2 linked regions of the Oryzias latipes genome follow. The protein of the gene in region 2 binds, or shares a complex with, the protein of the main gene of each other region. Links are inferred from orthologs where the notes say so. Each region holds a gene or a part of one and is shown on either strand. Other genes may lie near its edges.

Region 1 (4,252 bases), on a different chromosome or scaffold from region 2:
GGACATGTTTACGTATAGCGATATTTAAGTCAGGTGAGACAAACATAACAGGGGTAGGATTCTTTATATATTCTTTTTTTTTTGACAAACTATGTTTAGTTTGTACGAGTACATTATGTCTATGACTGACTATAACATTGTTTACATGTGAATGTGGACATATTTGTGCCTTTCTTGTGACTTAACATCTTAATTTAATACATCTATGCATGTTTTTTTTGTTGCTTGAAATGAACCAAATGTAAGATGGAAAAAAAGGCACATAGAGGGTCAGAGTTCTTAAATCTTAAATGAAAATGCAGAGTTCGTCTGATGACACTGCACAAAAAAAAAGAAGCTTCTGAGTGGGGCTGAACGATCCGAGGAAAAACTCGCAATTTGCGATATTAGGGATCAATATTGCGAATTAAAATATTGTCCAGTTATGTGCGGCTGTAGTTTATTGTACGTCTTCAGAAAAGTTTCACAGAAAATAACTGTTGAGTTTAAGGAAAATAAGGTAACTAACTGAAGTTGCTGATTTATAAAAGAGCAAGTGTGATGGGCTCAGAAAACACACGTGTGATGTGCAGTTCAAATGTTTTATTTCCTGTATGTATGCATACTGCAATTAAGTAGCAAGAACAAAAGGCAAACTAGAAAGAACTACAAAATACAACACATGGACCAATACATTTACAAAACATTCAAAATGTTACAAAATGGCCTGTATTGGTCCTTCTATTATTGTTCTTCCATTTGGATCTTTATACAAATTGTCAAGTTAGGATGTTTTCATCACTTTGCACAATTTTACAACTGCCAGGGAGAGACCTCCAGAGGCCACATCGACTGGAAAAACCATGAGAAGCCCCCCCCACCCACCACAAACAGGAGATCTTAATATCAGTCTTACTCTAGAAAATATCAGGAACCAAAGAAAAAATTATATCAGACAGTTGTTTTTTTTCTTTTCTTTTTTTGGTAACTACCGTTCACCTCTCAAAAAAACAAAACAAGAAAAAAAAAAAGACTTGTGTTGGAGGGAAGGAACTGAGGACTTTGGTAGTAAATGTTCTGTACAGACCAGGACACATTTGACATGTGCAGCCAAATCCATCCATCCACTTCCCTGCTCTCCCTTTTCTTCTTCAATATTTACATCAATGGTCAAAATAAGCTCACATCTGTCCTCTCAACTCAAGCTTAACGGGAAAAGCTTAAAAAAAAGAAGAAAAAAAAATCTCTTTAAATCCGTGAGCAGCAGTCCTTCCATTCACATTTCACGACTGCAGGAGCCGGTTTTGTCCAGTGCCAACGGTGAAGTGGGGGGGGTCCGTGTGCTGGGGGGGCGGGGCGGGTCAAGGCCACGAATTTCTCTCCCGGGTGCTTTGAGCTGGTGGCTGCGCAGGCTAGCTGGTGGCTGCGCAGGCTAGCTGGCACTGGTGCCCTCCATTACCTGCTGGGCCTGTTTCTGCCCCATGCAGCACTGGGCGACGGACTGGAACAGCCTGGGGGCAGACGGACAGGTTAACGCAGACGGACAGGTATTCGCAGACGGACAGGTGAACGCAGACGGACAGGTATTCGCAGACGGACAGGTGAACGCAGACGGACAGGTAAACGTAGACGGACAGGTGAACGCAGACGGACAGGTAAACGCAGACGGACAAGTGAACGCAGACGGACAGGTGAACGCAGACGGACAGGTGAACGCAGACGGACAGGTAAACGCAGACGGACAGGTAAACGCAGACGGACAGGTAAACGCAGACGGACAGGTAAACGCAGACGGACAGGTGAACGCAGACGAACAGGTGAACGCAGACGGACAGGTGAACGCAGACGGACAGGTTAGCGCAGACGGACAGGTAATCGCAGACGGACAGGTGAACGCAGACGGACAGGTGAACGCAGACGGACAGGTTAGCGCAGACGGACAGGTAAACGCAGACGGACAGGTGAACGCAGACAGACAGGTGAACGCAGACAGACAGGTGAACGCAGACGGACAGGTTAGCGCAGACGGACAGGTAAACGCAGACGGACAGGTGAACGCAGACGGACAGGTGAACGCAAGCGCCCACAAACCGGACCTGAACCTGGGGTGGTGAACTTACTTCTCGATCTCGGGGGCACAGTGCACAAAGTCGTGACTCCAGAACTTAAAGGCAGGGTTCTTGATGAGCTCGATGAAGGTGATAAGGAGCCCCCACGGATGAGGCCTGTTCACGATCAGCCTCTCCAACAGAACCCTGAGAACCAGAGAGCCTACGATTAACAGGACATCCGGTGTTCACACATCAGGACGGGACAGGACGGGACCTCCCCACCTGGTGATCTGCTCCTGGATGGCCTCAGTATTGGCCTCAGCGAACAGGTACAGCATGGTGCAGCTGAAATAATGGGTGTGGCTGTTGGGGTAGCGCAGCTGATTGGCGATGGCGTTCAAAAACAAGTATCGCCCTGAAAAATCACAAAAGCAGAGATGTGAGGAGAGAGGCAACGAGAATGCTCCAAAAGTCAGCCAGACCCAAACAAACCCTCAGTGTCCAGGTCCACAGCCAGGTTCTGGAAGATGTCCATGTGTGCAGAGTGGGTGATGGTGCTCATTGAGGGGGTGCTGCCCTTGTTGTGAATATGAGCGATGGCCTGTGTGCCCACGTACAACACCAAGGCGTTGATCAGCTGAATGTTGTAGCGGTTTCCTGGTTCGTTTGACACCTGCCAGGCAGAGTTCACAGAAACCTCAGCCGCTGTGAAAACAGTTTTTGTAGCAGAAGGTTCTGGTTCTGGTTCTACCTGCAGGTTGCTGCGCAGCTCAGAGAGGAAGGTAACCGGAGAGCGCGTCTTCAGGTACGAGTCCAGATCCTTCTTAAACTGAGAGGGCATCACGCCCGTGAAGTTGGTGAGGATTCGGGGAGCAATGTTGATCTCACTCAGCATGTCCACCTGTGGGGGGATGGGCGTCATGTCAGACAGGTTGAAGTGCCAATCCCATCGTCTTTTGATCTATTTTCAAAGCATTCCCAGTGTTTTTTTTAATTATACTTATGCAGTATTTAGCCCACATCAAAAAAACTGTTGTTTTCTAGGACTTAGTTTCTGTAGAGCAGCAGTAGTTAATTAGAAATTCACTTCCTCGCTGTTGTGAAGCAGAGTGGGGCAGACAGCTTGTGCCCCGCACATGGGACTTTTTTTGTCTGATTGGGATTCACAATAATTTAAATAAAGAAACACTTCAGTTACGGATCCATGTGACGCTCGTCTAGATGGTACTTTCTGCACATTTGCAATGCACATTTTAGCCCATGGTGTTCACACTGGACAAGCAGGGAGGGGCTTCTTACTCATGTTTCCGTATCTCCGACACCTACAGTTGGAACAGGCTTGGTGTGAAATGTGGAATCGGTTTTCCGACTCTGTGTCATAAAATTCCGGTCGGGCACAAACCCCAATTATCTATTTCTCTTCCATGATCAATTTTCATACCGTTGGCACTTCTGTGAATTAAAAAGGACCCCATCCTTACGTTACTACCAAATCTGAGTCCCTGATTGGTCCAAGTTCAACTGGTTTAACTTGCAATGTGCGTTCAATGGTCACGTATTTTATACGTACAACCGTGGTAGAAACTTGGTTAGCTAAGCGAGAGTTTTGAACACGGAAGACCAAACCGCTGGTTTACCCAGACTTTTCATTCAAAATGAACACGTGTTGCCGGGGGCGGTGTGAACATAACTTCATAAATGCAATTATAATCTTCATTTTCTTTGTACACGTCGTCAATCAGGAGAAAAGTGCCACAAGGACATGTTGACGGAATGGGTCTGTAAGATCGGAGTGATGGTTCTGAATGACAGGCACAGTCGGGGCTCTCTTACCTTCAGGTTGGGGGTGAACGGGTCAGGGAGCCTCATGTTGCGTGGGAAGGCACTGAGGATGAGGTTGCGGAGCTGGATGCAGTTGGGTGGGATGACATCACAGAAGCCGTAATGGTAATCACACAGGAATTCTGGGAAGTCGTGCAGCAGGACAAGGAGGACTCGCAGCGTGCCCTGAACCACAGGACAGAAGACGCGACATCAGAGATCAGACAGATGCCTGAGAGAGTGCCAGCAAACCTTTAACCCAATACCTGTGACCCCCAGCAGCAAAGCTAACTTTATCTTGTTGCATCTTTAAAGGTGTACCCCAGGGCTCACTGTTGGAGTCCAACCCTTTTTTATTTTTTTAGGACAGTTCATCTGCTACCATGGGTCTCATGTCGTCC
Region 2 (5,270 bases):
TGAGGGCTTGGTACTTTCAACTGTGAACTTTATATTTTTACAAGTGTTCAACAAAATAAAGGCTCAGGACTTTCCTATAGTGAAACTACATTGTTTTAAAGATGTAAATGATGTGCTAAATTAGTTTTAGGTTTTGTATCAGATCTTTGCTGATGTGAAAATACACCCCTTAGTGGCAGTAAGTAAACAAGCAAGGTGTTCACCTGAATTTACGGAAATTTAACTTCCTCCAGCAACATATGATGTGCTTGAAATTTTTAATTGAGATAAAATAATAGGTGTAGTTCTATCCAAAATGGAATAAATTACACTAATTTAAAAAAATGTCTAAGTAGGGATGACAGAAACATCATGCCTAATGCTAAATATCTGTCACAACACCAACAAGCATACAGATAAAATACATTAAAGAGAAATTACCTGGAAAGTTTTGGCAGCGCCACCACAGCTGAACCTTAAACAGAGATTAACTCTGTTATCCTTTTCCAAAATTTCAAAGGTTCCCTCTTTCCACTTGGTGCCGCCCAGCTCAATGGTGTTAAAGCGAATCTTGACAGTGCTACCACTGGAGAGTTTGGGCACAAAAGTTGACATGGCTTGCTATCCTGATGGTCCACTTGTTAGGTCTGAATTTAAGATGTACAAAAGAAATAAACATGTCAAGAAATAGTCACACGGGTAGCCTATAATGGCAAAAACAACCTCACTTTTATGACTGCTATTGCTATTTAACCAAATAAACAGTTTAAATGAATATTTTTACCATTGCTAAATGCCACATAACAAGAAGTTAGTATTTTTGTAACTAGTTTGCTATATTGTTTTTTTTACAGAACATGCAGCACCGACGTGCCATTCTGAAGATTATAAGTGATTTAATTTGTAGCCAACAATAACATTTGCTAAAAACTTGAAATGTGTTATTCAAAATTATAATAATAAATAAATAAAAGATACAGAAACAAAACTAATATGAGATATGTAGATACGTAGCCAACATGGCAAATGCGGTTTGAAGTAAAGGAAAAAGGTAGGACTTCATAATCCAAAGTGACAAGTTAGCATAACAGTACAATATGAATTACTGCACCACAAAAATCACAAAATATAACAAACTGCATATCCTGAACGGTCATTGAATTTTAGTTTTAAACATGTTTGTGTAGAGCCTGCATTTAAACAACAAACACTGACAACTCCAATGTTGCAGAGGAGAAGCAACACATTTTGAGCTGCGTTGTGATGCTCGTGGCGCGGCCAGAACCATAGATTCAAACGATATAAACAAAAATATCAGTCTATCAACGAACTAGTCGAATAACATGAATCTAATATTAAATGTGAAGCATGCAGTGGCGTTTTTGTTTCTTTAACAGACGCTTAATATGATGGAAGAGGCCCACATTAGCAACACTGGTTCCTAAGCTAGCGGGAGCTAGCTAACACAGTAATTTGGTGATGAAAACAACCACATTCAGTGCCATCGTCATTTCATTACCTGTCTAGGATCACGGTGGTGGTTCCAAACCTATAGAATGTGGACTTGACTTCGCAGATCCTTCGAGAGCATAAAAAAGGTTTTGCCGGCATTCACCTGCTGTTCTGTATGTTTGCTGCAAGTAGAGCAGCACACTACGCCTCACAGCAACGGGCGATGATGGCGGGAATGGGAACATTTACAACGGAAATGATGAACGAGATTGCGCTCCGTTCTCCTCTCGCGATATCTGAGACGTTGTTTGTAGCGAAGTTGTCCCTGCCGAGGAAAAAAAATCAAACGCGAGATTGAAAAAAATGCCAGTGTAAACTTGGTTTATTGATACTATAACGACAATAATTTCTTTTTGTGCTTCTGTAGTTCTCAGTGTTGGGATTTCGATTGAAGTTATGTGAAGTTACGCATGTTGTGGATCCCATTTGTTAGAGCACCTAGCAACTAGCTAAGCTAGCAGTTCGTAAGCATATGTCCATGGTTCTTACGGTGAGATTTCAGGGTCGAGTATTGCGAAGAGGTGCAAACTGACGAACTTTCTATTAAAAGAGTATTTTGAGATCCCGAAAAGCTTTCCAAAATGTTGGCAACGGGAGCGGTGAGTATCAAACTATTGCATCGCTCTCACGGTGACGTTCCCTCCAATTTCGCCTAAGTACATCGAAAATCTTTTTTTTCCTCCCAAATTTCAGCTTTCTTTATTGAATTAATTTTAAAGCAGAACTTCTCTTTGCAGTTTTCAAAGAAAGACTGCATAATATTAATGAAAGCCTCGTACAAATGTAGTACAGTATGGTTTTGGTATACATGTATTGCAGTTGGCAAATCATGAGACGTTTTTGTAGTTAAATTGACAAATAATTTGATTTTGCCCCAATTTGTCATAGCAGACATTTAACAAATTTACACGCTGTCATTTCCTCTTCATGATTTGGGTTTGCAGAAGGGGGAAATTAAACGTAGGTTACATATATCTTAATTAGCGTAATGTTTTTGTTCTTGAGTGTTTCGTTTGTTTGCTTGTTTAAAGAATTGATTGCGAATGGATTGATATTTTCTTCCTATCAAAGGCTGTAACCAACGTCACAGCCCTGGCCCAAGTAGACCGTGAGAAGATTTACCAGTGGATCAATGAGTTGTCCAGTCCAGAGACTAGAGAGAATGCTTTGCTGGAGCTCAGCAAGAAGCGAGAATCCGTGCCAGACTTGGCCCCAATGCTCTGGCATTCATGTGGCACCATTGCTGCCCTGTTGCAGGTATTGGTCCACCTGTTCATTTGACACAGGTCATCCCATTGGGACTGTTTGTGCATCTGTGCCTCTTGTATGGTCTTTATTTTTGTAGTGGTGTTAAACAACTCCTTTTGTTAATTAAATTGTCCTCCTTTTTTTTTTTTTCAGGAAATAGTAAACATCTATCCGTCTATTAACCCACCAACCCTTACAGCCCACCAGTCAAATAGAGTGTGTAATGCCCTGGCACTTTTGCAGTGTGTTGCCTCACATCCAGAGACACGGTAACAAGATAGTTATTGTTACTGAAAAATCAGATTTTTATTTTTTATTTTTAGTAATTCTAATAATTAACTGCTCTTATAATGTTTTAAAGGGGTAACAGACCACAATCTGTTTTATTTATTTGTTTATTATTTGTTTAAAAAGTAACAGTCATCAGTCACTTTTAATACATACATCATACAGAATAGTGGATTTTTCCAGCATTTAGCCTTTGCAGATCTTCAGTTTAAAGCGGTTAAAAGATAATAAATATAGTATTTTCATTTTTATTAAGGCCATGGTCTAAATAAATTGTTTAATATTAAGGTTTTGTTATGTAATTCCTCAATTCACTATAATTTAAAAAAAAAAACGAACTTATTTCCATTTGCAAGGTTTAATGTGTTACATTGATTAATATGATTTTATTTGTTTTGTCCACACCAGGTCAGCATTTCTAGCTGCCCATATTCCTCTTTTCCTTTACCCTTTTCTGCACACTGTGAGTAAAACGCGTCCATTTGAGTACCTGCGACTTACCAGTCTAGGAGTCATAGGTAATTTCTCCTGCTGAGATCATGTTTTTGTTGATTTTACTTTTAATTTAAAAAGTCTTCTCTTTTAGGTATTGCTCTGATAATTCTGTTTATGTCAGATCTTGATTTGTTTGTGTGTTCTTGACAGGTGCATTGGTGAAAACCGATGAACAAGAAGTGATAAACTTCCTTCTTACTACGGAAATCATCCCACTCTGTCTTCGCATCATGGAATCTGGAAGTGAACTCTCCAAGACGGTAATTACCAATGAAATCAAAAGCAGTTTTTATCAAGCAGGAAGAAAAAAATGGATTTTGGAGTCAAACATTCAAAATATGTGTTAACAGATTTGGGTTTTGGTTTTCTAAAACCTACTCTCATGCATTTATCTATGGTATGAATTTAACTCATGTTTCTACCATTGACTATAATTCTTTTTTTTTTATCAGGTTGCTACTTTCATACTGCAAAAGATCCTGCTGGATGACACTGGGTTGGCTTACATATGTCAGACTTATGAACGTTTTTCCCATGTCGCCATGATTCTTGTAAGTATTTTAGGATTTTTGTGTTGTGCACCTATAGCATTGTTGTGATAAAGATGTACAGTCAAGACCATAAATATTTGGACAGAGACACGTTTTTTCTAACGTGTCTCTCAGATCAACTCAGATGCCATTGAAGTGCAGACTTTCAGCCTTGGTTGAACAAAAAGATTGTATAAAAATGTGAAAAACTAAAGCATTTTTTAAACACAATCCCTTCATTTCTTGGGCTCCTAAGTAATTGGACAAATTAAATAACTGAAAACAAAATGGTCATTACTAATATTTGGTGGAAAACCCTTTGTTGGCAATGACAGCCTGAGCTGACCTCTCTTGATGAGAGACTGGCGGTAATAATTGGGGAATCCCTTTTAAGTGGTGTGGTGACTGAGGCGCAGGGGGAACACCGACGCGCCAGATGCACCGGGTGACATACCCCCAAAAGCCCGCAGAGGTCCAACAGGACAGCTCGAGGATTTTTTTTTTTTTTTTTTTTTTTTTTTTTTTTTTTTTTTTTAGATTTCCAAAATTTTTCATCCAACCCACAAGAATGAGTTTCTTGCAACAGAAAAATATTTCCGCCAGTTCTTCTAAGAAAAAGAAATAATGCTTTTCTCTTGGTTGTATCACGTAGTCCCCTAACATTTAAAGAAATTATTTTTAAAGAGTTAAACTTAAAATCAGTCATAGCTCATAGAACACAGAACTTGAAAATAAGAACAAATAACAATTCTATACCAACTTACCTAGCTTTAGGGATAAGTTGGAAACAAAAACTTGTTGAAAGTTTGACATGCCTTCATAAGGTAAATTCTAAGCCAACAAATGACTGTTGCAAAGGGAATATTTCTTAATTACCGACCTTTACAGTTACATCAATCAGTTTTTTAGATTTTCAGCTGAAACTCTCTTTCCATCGATGATGGCATCCTGTCCTCTCCAGGTGGCTTTCTTTCCTTCTTTCCGAGCTTTTTCCACCAACGGCCAGATCTTTCCTCTGTTCTGCCTTTCACGGAAGGTTAAATCTTCGGCGATGCGAAGCTTCTTTTCCTTCATGACTGCAGCATCCTTTGACGCCTCCAGATTTTCTGCCTGAAGACTCGCAATGTGAATTGAATGATGACTGGTCGAGGCCTGCTTTCATCTTTACGCTGTCCCACGCGATGCACTGTGTCAATCAGAAAGCCAAATTTCTGCCTT

Evidence for each region. The genes of interacting proteins can lie anywhere in the genome.
Region 1: the proteins of cnot9 (region 2) and cnot1 are in contact, whole or in part, in a crystal structure (PDB 4CRU), measured with the Homo sapiens proteins. The link is inferred for Oryzias latipes from reciprocal best matches to the Homo sapiens genes CNOT9 and CNOT1. Residues at the interface, in NP_005435.1 of Homo sapiens: Arg19, Glu20, Tyr23, Ile26, Asn27, Ser30, Ser31, Pro32, Arg35, Pro54, Met55, Trp57, His58, Ser59, Phe60, Gly61, Ile63, Ala64, Ala65, Leu67, Gln68, Val71, Asn72, Tyr74, Pro75, Ser76, Ile77, Asn78, Pro79, Thr81; in NP_057368.3 of Homo sapiens: Ile1415, Ala1416, Thr1418, Thr1419, Gln1422, Ile1423, Lys1426, Asp1427, Phe1428, Met1444, Asn1447, Leu1448, Gly1451, Met1452, Met1454, Ile1455, Arg1458, Glu1459, Tyr1548, Gln1549, Arg1552, Met1553, Pro1554, Gln1556, Ile1557, Leu1559, Val1564, Lys1567, Gln1568, Leu1569.

The regions. Positions count from the first base shown.
Region 1 is NC_019864.2:25,875,228-25,879,479, forward strand, and holds the end of cnot1 (CCR4-NOT transcription complex subunit 1), read right to left. Parts: intron 4,038-4,252; coding exon 3,864-4,037; intron 2,932-3,863; coding exon 2,782-2,931; intron 2,704-2,781; coding exon 2,523-2,703; intron 2,446-2,522; coding exon 2,313-2,445; intron 2,235-2,312; coding exon 2,100-2,234; intron 1,491-2,099; coding exon 1,412-1,490; downstream 1-1,411.
Region 2 is NC_019879.2:16,424,743-16,430,012, reverse strand, and holds the start of cnot9 (CCR4-NOT transcription complex subunit 9), read left to right. Parts: upstream 1-1,712; 5' UTR 1,713-2,072; coding exon 2,073-2,090; intron 2,091-2,562; coding exon 2,563-2,748; intron 2,749-2,892; coding exon 2,893-3,008; intron 3,009-3,435; coding exon 3,436-3,545; intron 3,546-3,672; coding exon 3,673-3,782; intron 3,783-3,974; coding exon 3,975-4,073; intron 4,074-5,270. Other genes in the region: usp37 (ubiquitin carboxyl-terminal hydrolase 37), read right to left, coding at 421-594. UniProt on the Homo sapiens protein: Component of the CCR4-NOT complex which is one of the major cellular mRNA deadenylases and is linked to various cellular processes including bulk mRNA degradation, miRNA-mediated repression, translational repression during translational initiation and general transcription regulation.